2 linked regions of the Oreochromis niloticus genome follow. The protein of the gene in region 1 purifies or fractionates together with the protein of each later gene. This does not show direct contact. Links are inferred from orthologs where the notes say so. Each region holds a gene or a part of one and is shown in the gene's direction. Other genes may lie near its edges.

Evidence for each region.
Region 2: the proteins of cdk7 (region 1) and gtf2h5 purify together in Homo sapiens (affinity purification with mass spectrometry; 7 studies listed by BioGRID and IntAct, with this or other methods). This does not show direct contact. The link is inferred for Oreochromis niloticus from reciprocal best matches to the Homo sapiens genes CDK7 and GTF2H5.

What each region holds. Positions count from the first base shown.
Region 1 is NC_031977.2:17,307,134-17,320,999, reverse strand, and holds the start of cdk7 (cyclin-dependent kinase 7), read left to right. Parts: upstream 1-7,382; 5' UTR 7,383-7,471; coding exon 7,472-7,537; intron 7,538-7,777; coding exon 7,778-7,837; intron 7,838-7,922; coding exon 7,923-7,956; intron 7,957-8,047; coding exon 8,048-8,115; intron 8,116-8,252; coding exon 8,253-8,321; intron 8,322-10,525; coding exon 10,526-10,636; intron 10,637-10,741; coding exon 10,742-10,860; intron 10,861-11,092; coding exon 11,093-11,192; intron 11,193-11,296; coding exon 11,297-11,383; intron 11,384-11,512; coding exon 11,513-11,662; intron 11,663-12,862; coding exon 12,863-13,001; intron 13,002-13,683; coding exon 13,684-13,712; 3' UTR 13,713-13,866. UniProt on the Homo sapiens protein: Serine/threonine kinase involved in cell cycle control and in RNA polymerase II-mediated RNA transcription. Cyclin-dependent kinases (CDKs) are activated by the binding to a cyclin and mediate the progression through the cell cycle.
Region 2 is NC_031980.2:11,766,648-11,778,436, forward strand, and holds gtf2h5 (general transcription factor IIH subunit 5), read left to right. Parts: upstream 1-7,366; 5' UTR 7,367-7,429; intron 7,430-7,738; 5' UTR 7,739-7,786; coding exon 7,787-7,821; intron 7,822-7,920; coding exon 7,921-8,101; 3' UTR 8,102-8,163; downstream 8,164-11,789. Other genes in the region: protein SERAC1, read left to right, coding at 1-85, 175-211, 304-446, 1,557-1,646, 2,238-2,369, 2,462-2,583, 2,671-2,799, 2,964-3,077 and 8 more. UniProt on the Homo sapiens protein: Component of the general transcription and DNA repair factor IIH (TFIIH) core complex, which is involved in general and transcription-coupled nucleotide excision repair (NER) of damaged DNA and, when complexed to CAK, in RNA transcription by RNA polymerase II.

The sequences.
Region 1 (13,866 bases):
GCAGTCAAAACAAGCCCGCATCCGACTACAAGCCCAAATCCAGCAGCGGGGGGTGGAATTTCAGCGACAAGACCGCGCTTTTAGTCGTCAGTGGGCTGCACAAGAGGCAGGAGATGGTAGTGGGGGTTGCTCGTCGCCGGTTGCACTGGGTCAAGCTTTTCTCTACCTCTCTCTCTGTGTGCCTCTCTCTCGCTCGCTCTTGCTCTCTCTCTCTGCTTTTCCGATCGGTGAATGTCAGGTCCCGGAGCCTGGTGTCTGGTAATGATCTCACCCAGCAGACTGAAAGCTCTGGCAGAGCAAAGCAGAGGGGAGAGATGAGAAGAGGAGGAGCGACATCGCCTCCCCCTGGCAGCAAACAACCTCAACGAGTCTCCCTTTTTTTTTTTCCTTTTTTTTTTTCTTTTCTTTTCCAAACCTCCCCCTAATTCCCAGGGCTTTCTCCCGTGGGACTGCTCTCATACTGGCACGGTGTTATTTTAATGTAATGCAAATAGGGAAAGCAACATCTGGCAAAAGGCTTGTTGTTTTGACTGAGTCACTGCTGTGAGGAGAAACATGTTTGGCACTGGTTTTCAACAGGTTCAGATACCTACCTGCATACAGAGCAGAAGAGACTGCGACTGAAATAAATATTTTAAGGGAAATATGCATCTGATACTATGTAACTGTAGTCTACTGAGCTTGGCTTTAAAATGCCTGAAATTGTAATGATAAATAAATATTTAATGGTCTTAGAGCTGTGGGATTTGATTAATTGGCTGGACATAAACAAACAGGGGTAAAATATGGACTACAGATAAGTTTGAGTGAATATCATTTTGTAGGCAAACTAAGAGTTGATGTTTAAATTCACTATAGTTTCATTAAAGTTGTAGTTTTTTTGTATTATTATTATTAATAATTGGTGTTTGGGGGCTGTTGACTTCTGAAGTGGGGGCAAGCCAGAAAAAGTTTGAGAATCACTGTCTCAGAGCAATTATACCAGACAACAGATGTTAATTCAGCTCAACATCTGGCCAGTCCGATTTGAATCAGTTTTTGAGCTACTGTGGCTTCATTTGAACACTAACCGGGCACCTGCATGAACAATTGGGCATAAGTCAGCAGCAGCATTTTATTTAAAAAGTAAAGGGCTTCACTTAATTAAACATGAAAAAAGCTCTGTCATCAGAAAACAAATTTAAAAAAAAAGAGCACACAATTAACAGCCTTAATGATATAACAGATGCACTAAGGGCAAAAAAAGCTCCATCCCTTCATTCTCTTCAGCTTATCCTTATCAGGGTCGGGGGTTACAATAAAAGCTATCTTTTTTCATATAGTCAAAATGAATAAAAGATAACCGATTTAGAATATTAGAGATGCTGTGATCATTGCCTTCACTTTGCTCCTCCAGAATAGGCAGCTTCTGCTGAGTCATAACTTAATACATAAATCTTATCAGTAGTGGTTCTAATGCATATCCTCTGGGGGTGTTTGACATGAAACATTTTGCAAGCCCGTGGGCTGAACTATAAATAAAGTTTATCACCTTTGTCTTCATAGGAAATGGCTTGTGCGCAAACCACTACTACTGGAATGAGCTGCGATGGTGCTATTTGGTGAGCGTGGTATTCATTTATTCTAATTCAACATGTGTGTTCAGCGAGACAAACGCTGCCACTCCACGCTGCGCTGCTGACACGTTGTATTCAGAGTAAGACAAGGTGGGTGCGTGGGTGGGGTTGAGTGGGTGAAAAAAAAGGCAGATTAGAGTGGGGTGTGCATGTGTGTGTGTGTGTGTGTGTGTGTGTGTGTGTGTGTGTGTGTGTGTGTGTGTGTTGTTCTAGTGCTGGTGCTTTCCCCTTAATATGTCAAATTAGAGGAGGATGGAAAACCCACATCAACCAGGCATGAACAAGCCGGAGTTGTTCCATTAATTCATCTTTGTCAGAAGTTATGTTTATATCGGGTCTCCATGCAAAACTTGACCTTCCCTGTATGGAAAACATTCTTTAACATTAACAAGCGATGCAAATGATGTCAGATGACCTTTCTCTCTTGGTGCCCCACAGTTACTAGCTGTTACTCATCCCTGGCATGTGTGTGTTTGTCTGTGTGTGTGTGTGTCTGTGAGTGCATGCATGCCCATGTGTCCCTGTGTAGAGCACCCACTGGGAGATGTTTCATTAGCCAGGGTGGTGTGCTCAGTAGCATGTAAACACTCGGCACAGTTTCAGACTTGTAGTTAAAAATCTGCAATGCCATCAGCAGTGTGGATGCTACTGCTTTGCACTTTGCCTGCTGTGCCACATTGACTAGTTTCACAATTGCATTTGCATGTCTGTGTGTCTGTGTCTTTATTATATTGAGAGCGCTTTCATAACAGCGCCTTTGATCATCTCTCCATATAAGGGCATGGGGCCGGTATTAAAATATAGCGTGTGTGTATTTCGCGGTGTTTTACTTTATCTTTATGTAGACCAAATGTTATGACAGTGAAAGCAACAGTCCCAGGATTTCTAAACAGATTTGGCATGATCTGCTCTACATATTCATTAAAATAAGGCTCAGGTTTATGGCTACGAGTCAAGGCTACCTTTAAATTTGAATTAATCTGGGGAGGGGTGATTTTTATGGGTTTTGGAGGAGAGAAACAGAAACTGACTCTAGAATAAATTTAAAATAGCAAAATCTGTGTGTGTCTGTGTTCACGTCCGTGTGTGTCTATTGATCTGGGTTGTGTGCAAGAACACAAAGAGACCCCTGAGAGAGAGGGGTCAACAGCTGCTCCCCAACAACCAATCAATTGCAGTGTATCAGTAAACATTACACTCTCGCTCTCTCTCTCACACACACACACACACATATACGCGCGCCCGCGCCCGGACACATAAAGACAGCACTCTCTTCTCAAATCTGTTTCCATGGATACCAGATACAGGCGGCCAAGAGGGAGCAGTTTTCCAGCTTAAACTGTAAATATTGAATTATGATGGGGAGAAAAGAGACAGCAGTGCAGGGCAACGTTCCTGCCTGAATGATCTAAATATCTGGATAATCCTTTCATCTCTATTCACCGCTACAGGAAATCTGGTGCATCATTCATGCTCATCAAGTTCAACATAAAAAGATCAATCTGTCTTACGGATCCAGCCACTTATGTGACGCTCTATTACAGACCGAGAGCTGCCCTCATTCCTTCATCTCTCCCTGCCATTTTGTGTGTGGAAGATCTTCATTCCCTCAAGTGGGATGCAAAGTAAATGCTTCCCTGTGCTTGATGTGCGGCGCATAAAAGTGAATTCAAACCACTTTAGCCGAATGCTGGGCTCCTCTGTGGTTTGATCAATGGGGAGAGGGGAGATTGAAAGATTGAGATGAAGAAGTGAAGAAAAAAACAAGTTAATTAATAAATGCTTTGGCAAATGTTTCAAGTGGGGGGCCACTAGAGAGCAAAGCAGAGATAGAAAAGCTGAGAGGGAAAGCAAAGGTGAATGGCAGTAATTGATTTGGGGATCTTTATAAATATTATAATCGCTGGCGTCTGCAGAGATAAAATACTAATAACGCACTTGTATTCATAACAGAGCTACGCAGCTTGACTGCGCCGTGAGTGAACACACTAACCTTGAGCTGACATTGTGAGCAGCCGAGACTCACGGTCAACCAGCGAGGGGCTTCTCTCTGGGAGTCCACTAATCTCGCAGGGCAGCGGCGGGCTCATCAGAGCTCCGAGACCCCTGGGACTGATGGAGGTAATGGGGTGAGCTGAGAGAGTGGGAGAAGGAGTGTGTATATGGGCATCAGTGAGGGGGAACAAAATAAAGAAACATAGTTGTGTGTCATGCAGGCACAAATGTGCGTAACCAAAGTGCATCTGTGCACACATGTGCATGTCTGTGTGTGTCAGAAGGTGCGAGGGCCGTGCTGATGGAATGAGAAGTTAATGGGACGTGTGACAAGGTTGATTACTGAGGCCTCGGTGATCTGACTGGGTTAATGAAGTAAATGGCTCCTTGGATAACACACCACTGTGGCCATCTCTCCAGATCCTGATACGCACAAACAAATCAGAGGGGCCTTTTCTTCCTTTGCCTTCCAACTATGACTTCCCTCACTGTGCTCGTGGCCATCATGGGTTTTGAATTAATCTTGGGGCTACATTTCACATGTTCTTTCATCCCAAAGTTCTCTTACAACACCCTGCTGCAAACTAGAAGACAAATAAGCCTATATAAGAGGTAAGGCAAACAATGGAATATTTTCTGTATGTACAGCATTAAAACAAGGGAGCTCAGCACACAGTGTTCAGCCTCTTTGAAGGATTTAAGTGGCCACATGTAGTTTGCAAATACAGCCAGACTTACATATTCAAGAGAAGATGCGCACACACGCACAAACACGCAGACAAACACAGGAAAGGAAAAGAAACACTGCCAGACTTTGTTCCCCATTTGAGGCTGCGATAGAGATTTTTCTAATGAGTGCGATAATGATGTCTGAGAAAAGACACAGACCAGAATGAAACAACAATACAGATGGGTGCTACGACAACAACAAAGACGCCCTAAATGCAGTTGACTGTGGACTCCCCGCTGGCTCTGTCTATGTGAAGAGATGACACTGCGCCCATCCCCCTGCTACTTATAAGGACATTATCATAATGTTGGCTCCGTACGAGCTCAGCTATCAAGTGGGCTCATCTTGAAGTCGTCCACAAGCCCCGGTGTACGCAGATGCTTCAGATGCCTGAGGAAGACAGTGGTGAACAAAAACATTTCTGCCCTAATATTAATTCAGACTGACAGCTCTGCCATCTAACAATGCAGCCCAGGACTGACAGCACCAATTTGACAAATCTCTGCGTTGGTTGTAAACACACAGCAGCACGGAAGATAATGATTGTCCTTCTGTTTGTCCTTCTGCTTTCTTATTGTCTTGTCACTACAGACATCTGCAGAGAATGAAAGGGGCAAAGTGAAGCATGTTTGTGGACCATGTGTGGCTGATGCTTTTGCAGTAAGTCAGTAGTTTTAAAAAAAATGGTGTGGAAAACCTGGCTTATGTGCTTCAATAAAAAAATAGAGATGAAAAAAAAAAAGTAAAAATACAAATGTCAGCATCTATTAGACGTATGAATAATGAATAATTTGTTCTGAGAAACAGATATTGTTTGTCACGGCTTGTGTGAACCTTCACACCTCAAACATCCACCCTACAACATCCTGTTGTGTTATAACTGTGCATGTGGTCAGATACAGCTGCATGTGTATGTGTGTGTGGTGTATGTGTGTGCATGTGTGTGTGCGGGCCTGTGAGAAAGAGTTAGAAACATAAAGAAAGAAAGAGAGAAAGAGGAAAACTCCCTAGATGACAGAACGCAGCCACTTCCCCAGAGACTCTGTGAGTAAAAAGAGGACAGAAACCTACAGCAGCAGGTGTGTGATACAGCACTGACTGTGATAGCGCTGAATCATTCATCCCTTACGCACTCGGTGACACCATCAGAGATCTTTTTTAACCTTTCATTTCTGAAGTATTGACCCAAAACACTACACTTAAATCACTAAAAAGTATAACAGAACAAATGATGACCAACAAAAAAGACCAAAAAAGAACATCCGGTGTGCATCATTCAACATTTTAGGGCATATTCTCGAGGCAAACTTGAGATTGTGACACTGCTCTTCTGCAGAAAAATTGCCTTTGCACTTCAACATTTCACTCCATCAACACATCTTCTATTCCGCATTTTGAAGAGATATGCATGGTTTTTGGGTGGCAGTGACTTAAAAGAAATCTGTGAGTGTGTGTAACAGCATGTGTGTTAAATGCAAATTTTTAATAAGGGCAAATACATTTTTATTTAATTTTTTGACATCTCTGAACAGGTCACCCCAAATGCATCCTCCTCACACTCATCACAAATGAGCAGATTATCATAGCTGTGCAATCAGTGTAAAAATTGTTTCTGAGGAAGAATTAGGTGGCCACATACCACACACACATACACACAGATAAACGACATTTGGTCTGCATTTGTTGTTTACTGTACATTGTGTGAACACTGTCCCATCTGAAGCTGCTTTCCAGCAGCAGGATGTGGTGGCGAGACACGTCCTCGCTTAACAACACCCACTTCCTATGAGTTTGATAAACAGCTTTGTGGTTTCACTCTCCTCCTGCCCGTCAAACAGAGGTATACACACAAACACGCGCGCGCACACACACACAAATATGCACACACCCGCTCAACAGCATCACCATCTGCTAATGTGACACATAACCAGAGTGAGTTATTGTTGTGCATAATGTTACCCATAGTGTCATGTGATTTACAGAGACAAACTATACAAACGCTACCAGAATCACTTATGTCTCTCTTCATCCGCAGTCTTACCGAGACACTGAGGGGAATGAGGCAAGAATGCCTTTAAATCATGGCAGAATTAGTAGGCATCAATATGTCATATTTGTTTTAAAGCAAGTGATGTAAATGGATCTGAGTTATGTCAGCTGTGGTCGTTAACGTCCCACATTGAGCCCCTCCCCCCACGTGTGTCCCTAAAGTTTGATTATAAGATAGTAAAGTCTTCTCTTCTCTTCTCTTCTCTTCTCTTCTCTTCTCTTCTCTTCTCTTCTCTTCTCTTCTCTTCACTTCTCTTCTCTTCTCTCCTCTTCTCTTCTCTGCATGGTTGCATGGGCACATACGGTCCTGTCACTCACATCTGGGAGCTGTCAGATGAATGTGCACACATCTGAGAGGAGAATGAGGGGTGTATTAGGCCTGCTGATCCTTCACACCCCTCTTGTCAAACTTAACATAAAAATGAAAGTCAGTGGCGAGTGTGCGCGTGCGTGCATGTGTGTGTGTATGTGCGTGTGAGGCAGCAGACGAGGAGGGTCAAAGGAGAAGAGCCATGCCTAATCCTGTGGGATGTGAGGGTATCTCACTGCGTATGGAGATGAGATGTAGAGATGTGCTCAGTGGTGCATGGATCACAAAACCTTCCTAACTGACAGAAGAGACTCCCAGGAGACAGATGTCAAACTGCTAACTGGTGAAAGAAAAATAAAGGGGGCAAAAAAAGACAAACTGTGAGGAAAATAACAGTACTGCATGTTGCATCATAACAGTAAAATGTTAGATATGACAGAGGCGAATGAGGCTGGAACTGAGATTAGATCTCCCCTTCACTTATTATTAATCTTAGTAGTAGTAGCAGTATTAGTATTGTTAGTATTATTAATATTATTATTGTAATTTAACAAACCTTTAAAAATCCAGTAAAACAAATCCAGAATAAATAAATCATGCTAGGTTTTTTTATTTGGCTCTATAATTTGGTTCGCGGTGGTGTTGGATAAATAAAATCGGTAGGTGTCGCTGTTGTTCAATTTAAATTTAAAGCCTCTAACCCGGAAAGACTACTTGCGGTCCTTTAACAGAGCAGGAAGTGCCTCAGCACGACACTGACAGTTATCTATCATGGCGCTTGATGTGAAAAGCAGAGCCAAGCGGTACGAGAAGCTGGATTTCCTCGGAGAGGGTCAGGTAGGGGGAAAAATATTTAAGAGATATGTGTCTTTGCTTTTTTCTTCGCACGTCCTTAGACCGCTGTGTTTATTGCGTAGAAAGCACGATGGCGAGCTAACAAAGCGTTAGCTGGTTGCTAATGTCAACAAAGCATCCGTGGTTCATGCTGCTCTGCTTCTTGTGCCAGTAAATTTCACCAAAATAAGTTTAAAAAAAATTAAAACTTTTTGTTTTTTGAATATTGTTTTTTCTCTGCAGTTTGCCACAGTGTACAAAGCCAGGGACAAACTGACCGACACAATAGTTGCCATTAAAAAGGTAAAAGAAACGAGCTATTTACTACTACCATTCACACTGTTTGTTGATGAGCCGCAGTAAACATTTACCTGTTTATTCCCTTCAGATTAAGGTTGGCCACAGGACTGAGGCTAAAGATGGTAAGTGCTGGGTCCTATCAATATGCTGCAGCTCATTTTCATCCGTTTTATATATATAATTTTTTTTACGTATTTATGTTTTTTAAAATAGGAATTAATCGGACTGCACTCAGAGAAATAAAACTGCTGCAGGAGCTCCATCATCCAAACATTATCGGGGTAGTTAAATGTTCATCGCACATCATCATAATCTTGTGTTACTGGTATCGATTGTATAGGAAGATACCTTAATCTTTCTATATTGTGCAGATTATTTATTTTTTGACCTAAATATTGTTGTTTTATATGTGTGGCAGCTGTTGGATGCTTTTGGACATAAATCAAACATCAGCCTGGTGTTTGATTTCATGGAAACAGACCTGGAGGTGAGTAGAGACCTAAATAGAAATGTGGAGGGATTTCATACACAGCGTTTGTGCACTTTTAAAAAATATTCACTTTTTTATTAGTTTGTGGGGGTAAATAAAAGGGGTAAATAGATGGATAGAATAGGTAGCAGCTTCCCACTTCCTTAATAATTTTTTACGATTTACGGCTTTAATGATTGGGGGGAAAAAAATAAAAAATTCTCAACACAATTTTTTTGCTTTGGTGCTTCGTAGTGCTCAGTTGTCACTGTGTAAGTGGGAGCATTTCATTCACAATTGTAACTAAAAATAAAAGCATTATGGGACATTATAAAATAGGGTTAAATCAACTGGCAGTATAACAATGTGCTGCACTGTTCATTAGTGTAAATATGTTAAGTAAAAGCATTAAAACATTTCATATCACGTCTCCAAAAATATGACTTTATGATTTTTTTTAGTCAAACAAATCTTAATAATTGTTCCTATATCTCAGAATAACAAGGAAAAGTAAACATTGAGGAAAAGAAAAGTTATAAGACACATTTACAGTGTGAATATCTTAAAGTGAAAACATAAAACAATGTAATACATACTGCATTACTAGCTGCAATGACTATATACCTACACAGATACATATACATCAGTTCTCCAAATCCTTAAAATCTTCAAGCAAAAAATAAACTATGAATAAAAAAAATAATACAATAAACATTTCCTTAAAAACAGGAAGGTTTTTCCCCTCATTTTAAGAACAATTGCATTAAATATTATTATTCTCGCATCAATTTGTGAGCAAATAATAATTTAGGCTTTAATCTCGTTCCATTCACACATTTACTTTTACATGCTGCTGGTTTTTGGCTAAGAAGACTAATCTGTTCACAGCTTCGGGTTTAGTAAACATTCTTTTGCATAGCTCTGATGGGGGTTTTTTGTGTGTGAATTTGGTGAATGAAGTGCAACATGTTACCAGACTTCATTGGGACCTGTCGGCACTGCGTCTTACAAACTGTTTCTTTTATTTCTTCCTGAGCAGCTGATACATTTTACTTCTCGGCTTTAGTCACCAAGGAAGAAAAAAAATTGTGTCAAAAAATAATTCAAAATGTTGAGATTAAACTTGAAATAGTATTTTGATAAAAAACTTGAAATAAGTGTCGATGTTATTTTCTCCTCAACTCTATAACTTCTCTGTTGGAAAGGGGTGTTTGGAAGGCCACAAACACAACAACCAGCCGATCTGAGCACAGTGTGAACAAGTAAATAGAATACATTTCTTATCTGTAGTTAAATATTAATAATATAACATTAAGAGCTCTTAAAGTCACAAACAGACTGCCAAATCTTAGACTTACCTATTTTATTTTTAGAAACATCTTCCAGTACAGTGTTGCCTAGAGGGTACAGTATTGTACGATATTATTTATTTATTTGTTTGTAACAAAACCCTAAGATGTCATGTTTTGCATTATGGCTGCTTCTGTCTGGAGATTTGTCAGTCATCTCTAATCTGTTAAACATTTCTTTAAAAAAAAGTTTTCTTTTTAATTCTGCAGTTCCCTTGTGGGCCAGCAGGTGGAAATTTTACCCTTTGTTCACATTCTTAGTGTAAGGTCAGACTAAAGTAGAGTAGCCAAGAAAGCATGAACAAGAGGTCAAACAAAGTGTCACCAGTGCTAAGCTAGGTGTTACTCTGGCTTTTATTTGGATTATCTAAGCATAAAAAGGCTCCAAATAGGCGCCCACCAGTAATACTTTAGACCCTAATGGAATGATGCAAAATAAGATAAACGCACTTAAAAATAATCAATATCACTCTGCTTTTGGCTGCTCAGTGAAGTGATGCCATTACAGGCAGCAGAAAAACAGGATGCACATGAGGATGAAATGTGATGCTGATCTTATTACCAGTGCTAAAAGCCTATATTATAAAAGCCTATATATTTTTGGACTGCAAGGTTAGCTTTAGTTAGACTCCTGCATTCAAAGGTGATGATGGTTCTTGTTATGAAGGCTGAACTGTTCTATCTTGGATGATTTCTTCAGACGGATATTTTCCAGATGTTTTCGATTGTCTTGTCCACTCAGAAAAAGTGTATTTTAATTTTGTGTGTGTGGCCTAGAGCTATGAAAAAACATGAATTAATGCATGGATGTTAGTAATTATGAGAAGTCTGGCTGTACGTATGACCCTTGGTCTTTGTTTTGTTGTTTTTAAGGTTATCATCAAAGACACTAGTTTAGTCTTAACTCCAGCCAACATCAAAGCCTACATCCTCATGACTCTGCAGGGATTAGAGTATATGCACCAGCACTGGGTCCTACACAGGGTAAGAAAACGTGTGCGCAGCATTCACACATAAATATGCCCATGTCTAATTTGTAATTTATATTTTGGGCCTTTTCCTCTTAATTTTTTTTCTCTTTTTGTGCAGGATCTGAAGCCCAATAATCTGTTGTTAGATGGCAGTGGGGTGTTGAAGTTGGCTGATTTTGGTTTGGCCAAGTCTTTTGGCAGTCCTAGCAGAGTCTACACGCATCAAGTTGTTACCAGGTCAGATCAGTCTCCATGTTACCTCATTAAAAATACAGAACTTCTCCAGAGTTAGTCTCATTAGAAATTCTTCAGAGCAGCAATATTTTTTTTAAATGTTTTCCATGATTTAATAAAACATTTAACCAAACTAGGACTGGTTAAATGTGACAGAATTATACTAAGAAGTCCAGGTTGCAAGGTCTGTAAAATATGTCTCTATTTGTTGTTCATTCATTCATGTCTTTCCTAGGTGGTACCGATCACCTGAGCTCCTGTTTGGTGCCAGGATGTACGGTGTGGGTGTTGACATGTGGGCAGTGGGATGCATCTTGGCAGAGTTGCTGCTTCGGGTAAATAAACCTCACTTCAAAGATATGAGCACGTAGTCGCAGGGGACGCAGCTATTTTCATATTCATGCTAATGTCAATGTTTCTACACTCCCGTTTGCTGTAGGTTCCGTTCCTTGCTGGAGACTCGGATCTCGACCAGCTTACTAAGATCTTTGAGGCTCTGGGAACACCCACAGAAGAAACGTGGCCTGTGGGTTTGTTTGGGGTTTTTTTGCTGTTGAAGTTTTGTTTTGTTTTTTAGGTTTTTTTTACAGTTTGGCCTGATTTTGATGAGATGTGGGGATTCTTGCTTACATTGTATTGTTATATCTCTCTTTAGGGCTTGAGTAGTCTACCAGACTATGTGTCCTTCAAAATATTCCCCGGCACACCGCTGGAACATATATTTAGTGCAGCTGGAGACGATTTACTTGAGCTGCTACAAGGTCTCTTTACCTTTAACCCTTCAGCGAGGACCACAGCTACACAGGTAATAAGCTAAGCATTCTTACACTGCAGTCTATTTGATGATTGCTGGATCGGCTTCAGCACTGAAATCCTGTTGTTTCATTTGTAGCTCCCTCAGAATTACAGGCCTCGCTTCAGGCAGTACGACTCTCATTGTGATCAGCCGGTGAAGAGTGTCCTTTACTTTAAGAGTGTAATGCGAAGATAAACCACTAATAGACTTGTAAAACTTGACTTTACAAGACTTGCAAAACAAAAAGTAGACATTTCACCTTCGTACAAGTCATGATGTGGTTGCCACACAGCTTTGTGCTAGGAAGAATAAATAAATATAAATGCTTATTATTTGCTCATTTTTAAGTGCACATGTTTTTTGGGGATGTTTGGGTTGACGAGTTGTGAGCAAAAACTGTACCCGAGTTAAGTAGCTGTTATCCTCTTCAATGCCGCTTCCTTGTGCACCTCTGACTCCCAGTGCTCCCACTGGTTGGAATTTGTCCTTCGAAGTTTCTTCTGTCCAAATTATAACCTTTTAAATTTCAATATTATTTTGAAACAAGAACATCACAAGGATTTAACTCTGGAAAGAAGAAGTGTTGGTGAGCAGCGATTGTGTTAGTGAAATGTGTAGTGTGGAGAACTTCTTAGTAGTAGGTGTAAGCAGGGGTGTGATGGCACACTGTTCAGGTTGTTTGTTCTTTCTCAGAAGTCTCAGTATGTTAGTAAAACTCACTATTGTCTGATCCAGGCGAGTGAATGCACTCTGCATAGCTGGTGCTCTCCCAGCGAAAACTGGTTTCTTCTCCAGTCCTAGGCACAGAGCCTGTTTTCATTACCTGTGACAATCCCTGACATAAAAGCTCGGTCAGTCTGATACAGGAATTGATGTTTGCCTTCTGTTTGAGCTCTATCGTAAAATTGCAGCTTCAGTTTTATTTACATGGCACCAATTCACAACAGTCACCGCAAGGCACTAAATAACTCATAATACTAGAGAGAAAACCTGAACTATCTCATTTTGCGTTAATCATAAACTAAAGGACTGTGCTTCTGCATTGTTCAACAACTGCATTAATCACACATCTTCCACTTTCTCTATTACACATCTCAATAATAAGAAAAAAAAAACAGCTTCTTGCATCTTTGATACATCAAATTAGAGACACAACTCTGATGTTTGATGCCACAGATGTATAAAAAGGTGTTTTCCTTTATTCTGCAGGCTCTAAAGATGAGGTACTTCAGCAATCGGCCTGGTCCCACTCCTGGTCCCCAGCTCCCCCGGCCAAACTGTTCGGCCGAGGCTTTGAGGGAGAAGGAGACAGTCGGGCTCAAGAGAAAAATTGAAGGCCTGGAGAATAGTAATTACCGGATATGATCTCATATTTGCACTAAATCCACTGTGTGTGTCCTTAATCCATAAAAGACCACCCTGACTCTGGGTTAAATATTTTCTCAGTCATGTTGTTTATATTGTGGTTTGAGCAGCAAAAACTGAGGTGTCTGCGACACTCGTTTGAGGCAGACTTTAAAGGGGCTGAATATTGTAGAACTTCCAACACTGACCAGATTTTTTTTCTTCTTCTTTTTTTTTTATAGCATGTTGTGAGTTTTTTGACTGCTTCTCGCTGAAGTTAAAAACCTAACCTAGCAATTCAGCGGGTGTTGGCTGTACATTTAGCTGCAGTTACAAATTCAGAAAATACTGAATTCGAACACGCGCCCACAGTTTCGTGGCTAGTGGGAGGGTATGTTTTACTAAAGTGGAACCTTTTAGTGTCACTGGGAGGTTCAAAGCTTTTCCAGCTCCTCTGTGGTTTGGAAAATATCTAGCTTTGACTTTTGTAACATTTATAACAGAAACCTTGGTGCCTCTTGGTAGCGTGTTGCTCATTATAGGCTTGATTTGAGCATGTGGCGTACATACACATGGAACAGAAATACGTGTCTATCTAATCTAACTTAGGTTTTTTAAGTTTTGTTTTTTTCTTCTTCTTCTTCTTTAAATAATGTTTATAACAAAACTCTTTGTGTTATTTTCAGCTGCAATGAAGAAGAAGCTCATTTTCTGACCAGGGACCGGGTTAAATCCGAGGATCACCACTGCATGGCTCAGCTTCCTGCATTTCTCAGGACTGTCCACTGGAAAAAGAAAAGGGAAAAAAGTCTATAACCAGCAGAGGCTCCCTCACGTGTGGTTGACTTTAGGACATTTTAGAAGTTGTA
Region 2 (11,789 bases), on another chromosome or scaffold:
GCCGCTCTGCGCTGGATCCGTTGTCGGAGGCTGAGCACAGCTGGGCCACCCGGTGTGAAGAAAGTGCTCCAGTGGAAAGATTTAAGTAAGTTATTAGACAAAATCAGCAATCTTGTACACTAAATTTCGGTAAACACATTGAAAATAAAGATCTTCCTCTTCGCTGACATTTAGGGAAAGTTGCTAAAGTAACTGGCGCAGTTGTCTTGGGGTAAGTTACATTATTAAAAGACTGATTTATGCATCGTGTGAGAGAAGAATGATCTCTGTCCCATAGCTTATTAAACATGCTCCTTTCTGCAGGGGCTGTCTTTTTATTACTTATGAGATGATAGCCTTGGATAAGGCTGTGACCATTGACACTAGTGCAATTCTTCAGGAGAAGAACAAGTCGTACATCTATCTGAGGGCCACTCCTTCAGATGAAAAAGACAACCTAACTGGAGGTAATTAATGCTATCCTAAACAACCTCATGGGTAACATGAGACATTATAATGTGTCTTTTCATATATTTACATACCCTATGTTGCTGGATTCAGTCACAACTTTTCACCAAACCCTGGCTGGTGTTTCTAGGACAATCCCAGAATAAACAGTACATTTATAAATTCATCACAGAGTCTCATATTTTATCTTTTTGCCTGTTGTACTACTCTGTTTGTAGTCCTACATTTTCTCACTGCATCAAGATATTCACATTCTGTTTCTACATACCTCCATCCAGTGTCAGACTTATTTTGGGACGAATTAGACCTTTAATTGTGAAAATACACAAGTTCAGATGTAGCATCCGCCATTCGGCATTGCAGTATTTCTTCTTGTACAAAATCTGTTATTTTAAGCTCTTTTGCTGTATAACATATGTACATATTTCCACTAGCCCATAAATGTAGTAAGACTGTTTAGATTTTTAATTTAAATTTACTGTTTTTTGGACATGTTCCTTCTTCCCTCCTGTGGGAGGGCATTATCTGACAAATATGCTGAGTGGCTACATTTTGTTCTTGTATAAGAAAGTGTTGAGTTTTTTATGTTCAGTGGGGCAGTGACATCTGCCTTCATTCTTCCTGTTTTCCCTTTCCTGCCAGGACTTTGGGCCATTTAGTGTTGGGTGATTTTACTTCCTCTACCTTTTTAGTGGAAGCTTTCACAATCAACTTATATTCAAATATAAGCTGCTTGATTATGCTGAAACATATGATCATGATCATTTTAAGCAGTACTCACTCATAATACGTTAATTTCACTTTTAACTTAAAATAAGTACATGTGAACTTAACACACAACAGTATAGCAGGGAGTGTGTTTAGGCTTTCGGGGAGGTGCAAATGCTATAGCTGTAAGGATGAGATGGATTTATAATGAAAGATAAAAAATAGAATCATTATTATAAAAATGGAAATATAAATTAATCTCACTCAAATTTGATTAATTAGCCACCTCTACAGGAAAGCATTTCTAAATGGTTTCTGTTTTCTTTATAATGTTATAGAAATGCAATTCCAAATTCTGTCAAGGGAGTAGTGGCTAGTTGTTTTTTCTGCATCTCTTCCAGGACTTACACACAAAGCAAGGAGGGAACTTCATAAAGCAGCAAGACGGTTTGTGGAAATATCCTCGAGGCTTTTACTGCAATCACTCGATGGTGAGAATCTAACAAACACCAATTCACCAATAACATAGATACACCATAATGCCACCCCTAATATTTCTTGAACTTAACTTCTTGAACTTGTTGCCAATAGCAGGGCAAGTGTTTATGCTCAGAAAACTGTAGTCATTCAGTCAATTTTATGTGACGTATGTGCACAGAGACCAAAGGAAACACCTGCCTTTGCACATGCACATCCTGTTTTGAATGCCACATAGCTTGTACAGTGGTGTGGATCTTGTGAAAGTGAGTGGAATAAACAGGTCTGAGATTTTTTGTTTTGTTTCGGCACCTGTAGTTTTAAATCCGCAGACAAAAAGTTACATTGACTTTTGTTTACTTTAACCTTTTACAAATTAATAGCTGCCAAGTTGATGACACAAGTTTCACTCCTGCAAGGTTTGTACTGTAGCTCCTTAGCTTTTGTAATAATGTAAAAGGTGACGCAGTAGACACTGGTAGTTAACCATTTAGCTGTAGTTAGAATTGCTAAAAGGTCCAAATAGAGGAATTAGTACAACACATCTCTATTTTTATTCTCTAAATGTTCAGACGGTCAGTTTGTTCTGTAATTTTGTGTCTTAGAGCACTTCAGTCATGTGGATGCTGACCCACATGAGGTGGCATTGTGGGTCCTGCTGAAGAAGACACAGTCAGCTAATAAAGCCATCAGACTAGAGGCTGTTCAGGAGCTTGCAGACAATCACCACTGGCATGGTAAAGGACCCTAAAAGTTTCCTGTCACTTTAATTTGATACACAACACAGACCTGCTTTGGTCTTAGATCACACCTGTTTTGAATAATCCAGATTACCAGTACCAGACGGCAGCACAGGTTATAGACCATCGGACAGCAGTGGGCTTGGCCCGGACGCCTCAGGTAGACCTGAGGTTTTTCCGTCACCCACCTGCACTGCCTGATTTGGGGGAGGTACTCAAATCTACTCTTTAGGATATTTGCCATTTGAATGCCTACCTCACAGATGTGCTGCATCTCACTATAATGTGATCTTCTCAGGGTTTGTCAGCGGAGGACGGACTGAGGCAGCTTTTGGCATCTCTGCCTCAAACTGAGGTGGACAAATGTGTTCGGTACTTTACCTCACTGGCCCTGAGAGAGAGCACTCAGTCCTTGGCAGCACAAAGGGTGACAATCACAGATTTACACATACATGTACAGTCTTTAGGAAGGTGATGGTCTAAACAGGAGGACAACAGTCACTGGGATGTGCAAAAAAAAAAAAAAAGAAAAAGAAAGAAAAAAGCTAGTTTCTATATCCTGTCATTAACACGTGCGCTTCATTGTTCCAGGGTGGTCTGTGGAGTTTTGGAGGCAATGGGCTGCCTTATGCCCAGAGCCTCACCTCTGTTCCTTCTGAGAAGGTGGAGTCCTTCTGTCTGCAGGCACTGGTACAACACTCAAAGGTAATCATCATTGTGCATCCAAAGGTGATTTAGTCTGGAGTCGGTGGCTTGATTACTTACTTACTACTCGTTGCGGTCATTGTAGCAGTGTATTAAGGTCAATTCTATGCGCCCCCTGTCTGGATGTTGCCTTGTGGTTAATACTTTGCGATCTGCAGGTAAGGAGCCACTGTGACCACATAGTTGCCAACGGAGGTCTACAGCTTCTCCAGAGGGTTTATCACCTCAGAACAGACTCTATGAAGATTCAGAGGAACATTGTTCGCATTATCGGAAACCTGGCTCTCAATGAAGGTGCCCATCAGGCCATAGCCCAGTCCGGTAAGTCTGTAACTAATCTGAATAAACTGGAGACAGCTCTGATTATGTGTAATCCTGACTGGGTGCGCTAAAGATGTTATGAAAGTAAGGTCTAAAATATATGTTGTGCTTGTTTCAATTAGAGATTAGATTGTCACCATCACAAAAAAATGTGTTTACTTTTATAGTTATCCACCCCAACTTATAAATTTTATCGTACTGCTCACACTTTCCTGTTTTTTTTCCCCTACTTTACCCATAAAACACCTGCAGGCTGGGTGTCTGTCCTGGCTGAGATGATGCAGTGCCCTCATATCATGCAGGCGTCTCACGCAGCTCGTGCTCTTGCAAACCTGGACAGGGAGACAGTAAAAGAGAAATACCCAGATGGTGTCTATATCCTGCACCCACAAACACGTAGCAAGTAGGAAAACAAATTCAGTTGTTACATAAATGCATTAACATCATTTTATTTTATTGTTATAACCAAACCATCATCTTTGACAATGTTTTCAATTTCCAGTCAGCCAATCAAAGCAGACGTGCTGTTCATACACGGGATTCTAGGGGCAGCTTTTAAGACGTGGAGGCAGAAGGACCGCAATACGTTAGAGGAAGAGGAGGCAGCCAAATGCGAAGATGACTATACAGAGTGCTGGCCAAAGGTAACAAAGGCACCTGATTCCTCTAATTACATTAATGGATTATTTCAGTGTTTTCCTCCTACAGTGAAATTGAGTGTTTCAAGACTTAGAAGTGTGTTGTCGTCTCTGTGAAACTCTTAGGTCTCACACAGCTTAAGATTTATCTCAGTGTTCTTCCATGTCGTTTTATCACTGTTTATTGTCAGTCATGGTTGGCTGCTGACTGTCCAAATCTGAGAGTGCTGTCGGTGGAGTATGACAGTCATCTAAGTGACTGGATGGCCCAGTGTCCTGCTGAGAATCAGAGGTAAAAAAACAAAAAAAACAACGATAAATCTGTAGTTTCTTTATACGTCTACATGTGATTAAGGTGCTACTCTTGGTAAAACAGAATATTTTTGCAAAGTCAGGTGCCCTTGGATTAATTACTCCAACAGATTAAAGGGTTGACTATCTGTCTCTCCAGGAAGTCTCTAGCCTACAGAAGTCAGGAGCTGCTAAAGAAGTTAAAGCTGGCAGGAGTTGGAGAAAGGCCTGTGGTCTGGGTAGCCCACAGTATGGGAGGTATTTCTCCCACATCTTTCCTTCCACAAGCATGTTGGACTTTTATGCAGATCCCTTGAATCAAACTTGAAAAAAAAAAAAAAGAAATTACTAATCTATCCTCTTGCATTTGGTTTCTCTTGCAGGACTGCTTGTGAAGAAAATGCTGCTGGATGCCTCACAGGACCCAGACATGCATGGGTTATTACAGAACACCAAAGGGATTATGTTTTATAGTGTTCCTCACTACGGCACCTTCATGGCAGAGTACTCTGTCAATGTCAGATATCTTCTCTTCCCCTCCATAGAAGTCAGAGAACTCTGTAAAGGTCAGTGAATATGATGAATTCTGTGGTCTATGAAACTCTTTCAGCATCTAATGTGAATTGATGTGTGTGTTTTAAGATTCACCAGCTCTGCGCAGCCTGAATGATAACTTCCTGAACCTGGCCAAAGAAAAGGATTTCAAGGTGCTGAGCTTTGCAGAGACACTACCGACGAACATTGGACCCATGATCAAGATACTTGTGGTACCAACGCAGTCAGCAAGTATGTAACTCCAAATACTGTAATGTCTGAAATGTACAGCTTAAATATTTTAAAAAAAACACATAGTTGAAGCAATGTCTTGCGTCTCATCGTGTTGTGGTTTCAGATCTCGGGATTGGTGAGCTCATTGAAGTGGACGTAGATCACCTAAACATCTGCAAACCAGAGAGGAAGGACTCATTTCTATACAAACGCAGCCTCCAGTTCATCCTGGACGCTCTGCAGAGCTACGTCACCCACTGACAGAAATCTATAAAAACAATGACACTGAGACCACCTGCTGTATACTTGAAATGTATATCACACTCCAAACCAAACAGAGAAATAACTGCACATTCACATGAAGCACCACAAATGCAATTGCAGTATAGCTAACGAAATCAAATTTATTTTACACACGGATATATGTGGAAACCTGTCAGTTGTGATAACGATAGCAGGGTGCGTTTTTTGTTGTTGGGGTCTTTTTTAAGTCATCCACTGAGATCGGTCTCTTAATTGTACATCAGCTAAGTTTGAAAGAAAACAACTCTTATGTTTACAAGTAAATTAAGCACATTACAATTTTATCTAGATTTCCTTTTATTTTAGATTTATTACCAGCTAATCATGGGATACATAATGCTCATTATCTACTGTATTTACTTAAAAATGCACTGACATTTTGTTGCCACTCATGCAACTTGACTTTTGACCAGAGCAAAGGTTTAAGACTTTATTTTTATATGTATTTGTTTTACTCTAACTATAGTGTGATTATCATCTTATGTGCCAAAACATATTCTTTCCCAAGCCTTACCTCAAGTGGACCTGAGTTAATACCTTTAGTTCAGATTGCACATACAGTTGTATGGGACTGATCAAGCAAATTAATTTTAATACATGTGTTTGCAGCCCCCACTGCCACTAGCAGTCCTAAATGCTGGCAATGAAATGAATAAATGTGTAACGTTTGAGGGTTTATGAGTCATCTATGCATTTCTATATACAAAGTACAAAATACAACAAAGTATTTGAAACATTCCTCTGGGATTTTGGCCCATATTGACATGATACCATCACACAGGTGCTGCAGATTCGTCAACTGCACATCCATGATAGGAATATACCACATCCCAAAGATGCTCAAGAGGATTGACATCTGGTCACTGGAGGTCATTTGAGTTCAGTGAACTCATACAAGAAACCAGTATGACATGATATGAGCTTGGTGACATGATGTCTTATCCTGCAGGAAGTTGCCATCACAAGATGGGCACACTGTTATCATAAAAGGATGGACATGGTCCAGAACAATAAATGGGTTGAACTAAGGGGCCTAAATTGTGCCAAGAAAACATTTCCTACACCATTAAACCAGCCTCAGAAACATTAGTTTGCTATTCTTACCTTATTCTTCTGCTGCTGTAGCCCATCTGCTTCAGGGTTCAAAGTTTTGTGCAGTCATAGATGCTCTTCTGCATACATTGGATATAAAAAAGTGATTATCTGAGTTACTGTTGTCTTCCTATCAGCTCCAAACAGTCTGACCATTCTGCTCTGATGCATTTTTACCCAGAGAACTCCTGCTCACTGGATATTTTCTCTCTTTTTGGATCAGTCTCTATAAATCCTAGAGATGGTTGTAGCTCAATTGACCAGCAATTTCTGAAGTACTCGACAATCACCCGACATTCAAAGTCACCCACATCACCTTTCTTCTCCATTCTGATGCTCAGTTTGAACTTGAGCAGGTCATCTTGGTCATCATGTCTACATGCTTAAGTGCACTAAAATACTTCCATGTGACTGGTTGATTGTATATTTGCCTTAAGGAGCAGCAGAGTAGTTGTACCTTATAAGTGGTCCTGAGTGTATATATATGGTATCAAGTTGTCATAGTTTTCCTGTTAGTGACAGAAGGGGGAAAATGGCACAGTACTGTATTTTATACTGGATCTTAACTTGCATTTTGCACCAATGTCATGATGCAGTTTTTTGTAATGCATTTCATGCACTTGGGTACAAATATTGCATTATTTTCTTCATAATACTCACTCATCTATACACAACGTAGGCTTTTTTTAAACCCACAGTATTGATATGCACTAAAATATAAAGCATTAAACCTTTACCAAGGACAGAAAAGCAGCACAGAAGCAGCAAAAGCTTTTAAAACATGCTAGCGCGATATTTGGACATCAGAAGATTGTCCCTTGGCGCACACCTTACATAACCCATCAATGCTTTGAAAACTTAGCAGAAACAGCTGGAGATCTCGGGTAGATAAAAGGCTGTTTGTTGCTTTATGTTAATCCTTCGCTTAACTGTAGACAGGTATGTATATGTATATGTGTGAAGTTTGCTCTTTTAGATATTTGAGATCGCGGTATGTAGCAGAACATGCCCGTGGCCATGCTATTTTGAGCTAATGCTAACCGGTGCTAAAACAAAGAGCTAGCATACGCTGTACTTAAACGTTTACAAGTATTTTCTTTGTTGTAATGGTAATAAAAATATTATTAAAATGTCCGAAAACATGTGAAGCGTTTATCTTACTGTTTAGTGCCTTAATAAGGGTTTAGGCTGCCGTAAAGCTGCTTCTACTTGAGGCCTTCAGCTGTCGGTTTGTTTACTGTGCTGCAGGTATTCAGCTCTTTAATCGGCTTCGACTGTCCATTTCTCTGCATCAATATGGTCAACGTGCACAAAGGTGTCCTTGTTGAATGGTAAGGTTGTAACTTTGCCAATAAATATTTGTAGCTAGTTTCACAGAAATCTGTTTTTAAGTAGCCGAAACTTTAACTTTCTCTTGCTGTATGCACTAGTGATCCTGCCATGAAACAATTTCTCCTGTACCTGGATGAAACGATGGCCTTGGGAAAGAAATTCATCCTCAAGGATCTTGACGACACGCACGTGTTCATTCTTGCAGAGGTGGTTCAAACACTCCAGGAGAGAGTCGGAGAGTTGATGGACCAGAATTCATTCCCCATCACACAGAAATAAACGCAAACTGTCAGAAGAAGTGTTACTTTTTGGCCATGGACTGCTCATGATCTCTGGATAAATGTTTGCAGTGTTTTAACTGCAGACTACAGTGGATTACTGTGAAAATGCTCAAGGAGTTCAAATACATTTTGATAGCAGGTTCCAGAATATGTTTTCTTTTTCTTTGCCTTCTTTAAATTGCAGATTAAAGCTACTGTGTCTGCAGCACCATGTGTTTGTTTTTTTATTATTATTATTATTAATAATTGATATGAAAGGAGCAAGGATCCGAAGTTAAATAAATCGACAGCTGCTTGTCGTTTAACAGTGACTTTCAGTTTTTTTCCATATTTGACATTCTGATTAAAGTTGGTCTAAAAATATTTAAAACGGTCTTTTGAAAATGTTGGGATGTTGTGTCTAATGTAAATCAAAATAATACAATTATGTATTGAAGGTCATTTAAGCCCTTTTAAAGCCTTTTAAATTGAAAATAATTTTGGGTAAATAGTCTCTTTTCACTATGTGACATCTTTATTTTTCTTTCTTTGTAATGTGACTGGGTGAAGTAACTAGATTTATTCGGTATCATTAATGCAAGCTAAGTTTCTCTACATTAGTTATACGTTGCACCCTGAAACATACGGAAAAACCCTTTTTATGATTGTGCACAGAGCGTGAAGCAGGAAAACTATTTAAAAAGAACGTTGAGGAACCACTTCTGACTGAGTTTTAGGATTTGTCAAGCCAGCTAACACAAACAAGCCCAGCTGTCTTCAAGCTGCTTTGTAAGAATTTAGTCTTTTTCTTTTTAATTCCATACACACACATAATGAAATACCCAAATTCTTTGCAATTTTATGTTGAAAAGAGTTTAACTGGAGGTGACCCCCTCAAAATTTTATGATTTTCATTTTATTCACAGTGAGCTTCTTTTTATATCCATTAATATTACTAATTAATCCAAAAGCTTGGAGTTTTTCCATTAACCATTTTTCCCTTTTGGTTCAGCATTAAAGCTTTTTTTGTGGGAAAGATATTGCTCACAGCAAATTCCTAAAAACTCCATATGTTGCTCCCATAGATACCATCCAGCTTAACACACATGAGGCTCCAAATTATACCAGGAGTGGGGTTTGAACCCACGAGAGCATCCGCTCATTGGAACTTAAGTCCAACGCCTTAACCACTCGGCCATCCTGGTACACATATGTTGTGTAAATGTTTTCCTTTGGGAAACAGTACTGTCAGTCGGAGAAAGAAATGTATTAATCTTGTTTGTCAGGATCATAGCCATAAATGGAGGACTCTCGTAAAGTCCCTGGATTTTCATTCACACATATTACATGAGATATCTACTCTTTACACACTAAGGATCCACACTATCAGGGCTACACCACACTGCTGTTTTATAAATCATCAAAACCATTAGTATCCTACGATTTATTATATATAGAAAAGATCTGTTGCAAAATGTTTTCATGTAATCCTAAAAACAGAAAAACAATCTTCTGTACTATTAACCATCCACAAATGGAAACAACAGACAATACAGGTGATTTTAGCTAAAAAGCCAAGAAAAAACTGTGCTTTTTTTTCAAGAGATGTAATTTACAGCCACAGAAAAAAGACAGCTGCAGTATGTAGAGAAAGAGAATAGTTAAACCTATAATCAACATGAGTCCTTGTAGGTGGCAGCCTCCAGTTTTTACAGACTTCTATCGGTCTCTAGTGGACAACAGAGGTAACTGCAGGATTCAAGCTAGAATAATGTAACTGCAGTTCAAAACTACATTTTTGGGGGGGGGATTTCCCATAGAAAGTGTGTGTCCACGTGTCAGTCCAAGTCGCAGGATTTAGTATTTCTCAGAACAGTTAAATGCAACTTATTTACAGGTATTAAGTCGCAACATTTCAGTCTGTCTTTCATCAGTACAAAGACAATGTCCATATATTCACACGCAGACATATATATTGTGTATAACAAACCTCTAAGCAAGAACACAAGAATCAAACTACACTTCTTTTCCACAGTTTCAGGGGGGTGCACCGTTCCTGGAAATACTGCAATACCAGGTCGATGCGTGGAGTGGACGGAGCAAGCCCCTATTCCATCTCCCTGTTCCAAAAATCAATTTAATATATGGTCCCCGGATAGGGGACGTATCAGATATTAAACTGATAAGAACAGATACTACACTTGATCTTAGCCAAAAGGCCGAGAAGCGATACCCACATATCATCCGACACAAGGGAGTCATTCTGCTTACTGCAACTCTAACTCATGGTTACAAAGAAGAACACAGTCGTCTTCTAACAAATGGTAGAGGACAGGTCGAGGTTTTACTGACGTTTTACCTCCGAAACATCACAATATAACTATGCTCGCCATGTTTCAGTTTATAAACGGCGCCCCATATAAAACGACACTTTAGTTTCTGAAACGCCGGTCAGCGCATGCCGGTTAATGATATTCAAGATCACGTGGTCGTCTGCAGTCCAATCAGCGGTCGTTAAGAAGGAGCGTCTTAAATTCATTTTTATCACTTTCCTGGCGGTATAATTGTTTTCATAATATGATAATTACGTGATCTATGAAAAATAATTATAATATCAGTATCGCGCGTTGAATTGAAACGACGAAAATCAAATAAACACGTCTATGATTGTTTAAGGTTTCACGAAGAAGCTCTTCCGCCCTCAGGTGTACAGACAGAAAACTGCACCCAGTCTACTCTAGACCACAGTAATCTACTTGTACAGTACTGAAGCTGGATTGGCAGCAATTTCTAACCATGGAAGTGGACATACAAAACTAGCTTAAATAAGTTACAATTAATTCTGCATATTTGTAACTTTGGTGTGAAATGACTCTTCTCAACGCCTGACAGTGTAATGGCTTTACTGGGTATTTCTGAGAAGGGTGAAGTTGGCCAAGTCTGAGAAAACTCGCAGCTGGAGGGAGGTTGAATGTATCTGTTTATCTTTTCTGCATTTGTATTACTTTAACGAACTAACCCCAGTGCTATAAAAAAAAAAAACATAACAAACAAACAAAAAGCGAATAAATGTTTTACACTTTAGCTTGTTTAGCAGTTAGCAAAAGAGTCTTAGGTTAGAATACAAACATAACAAACAAAAAAATTAGGATTAACAAAACAGTACGACATCGAGAATTGAAAGTAGGGTTAAAGGACAGAATGAAATAAAAAGAACTGTTCATAAAGAGTTGGTTTGACCAAACCTACCTTTAAAGGGTTCTCTTAAAAACGAAGTCGCATCAGGGAGAATTACCTCGGGCTAGCCTTAATGTTGTATAAATAAAGCTAACCAGTAGGGGGCAGTGTTTACGTTATACGAAGTAATAGAACACAAGCCACCCTAAGCCTAGCCGTAGATGTCCTAACATTGTGGTGTGATGGTGTGACATTAAGTAAAAACATTAAATAGAACTATTGCCAGCTATTTTTTAAACACTTCAAAACCCACCCAGTTTAACCACCTTAAACTAACAAAAGCTACACTTCCACCGAAAGAATCAGACATGTACACTTATCTTGAAGCATTTACAATTCTTAAGATTGCAGTCCAATTTAGAAGAAAACTGGGTGATGTAGAGACAAGGCACCATCTTGGTTAAAATATATATTTAAGTCAGCTCAAGAGGACGAAGGCAAGGAAGTCAGCAAGTTGGAATGGAATCTGC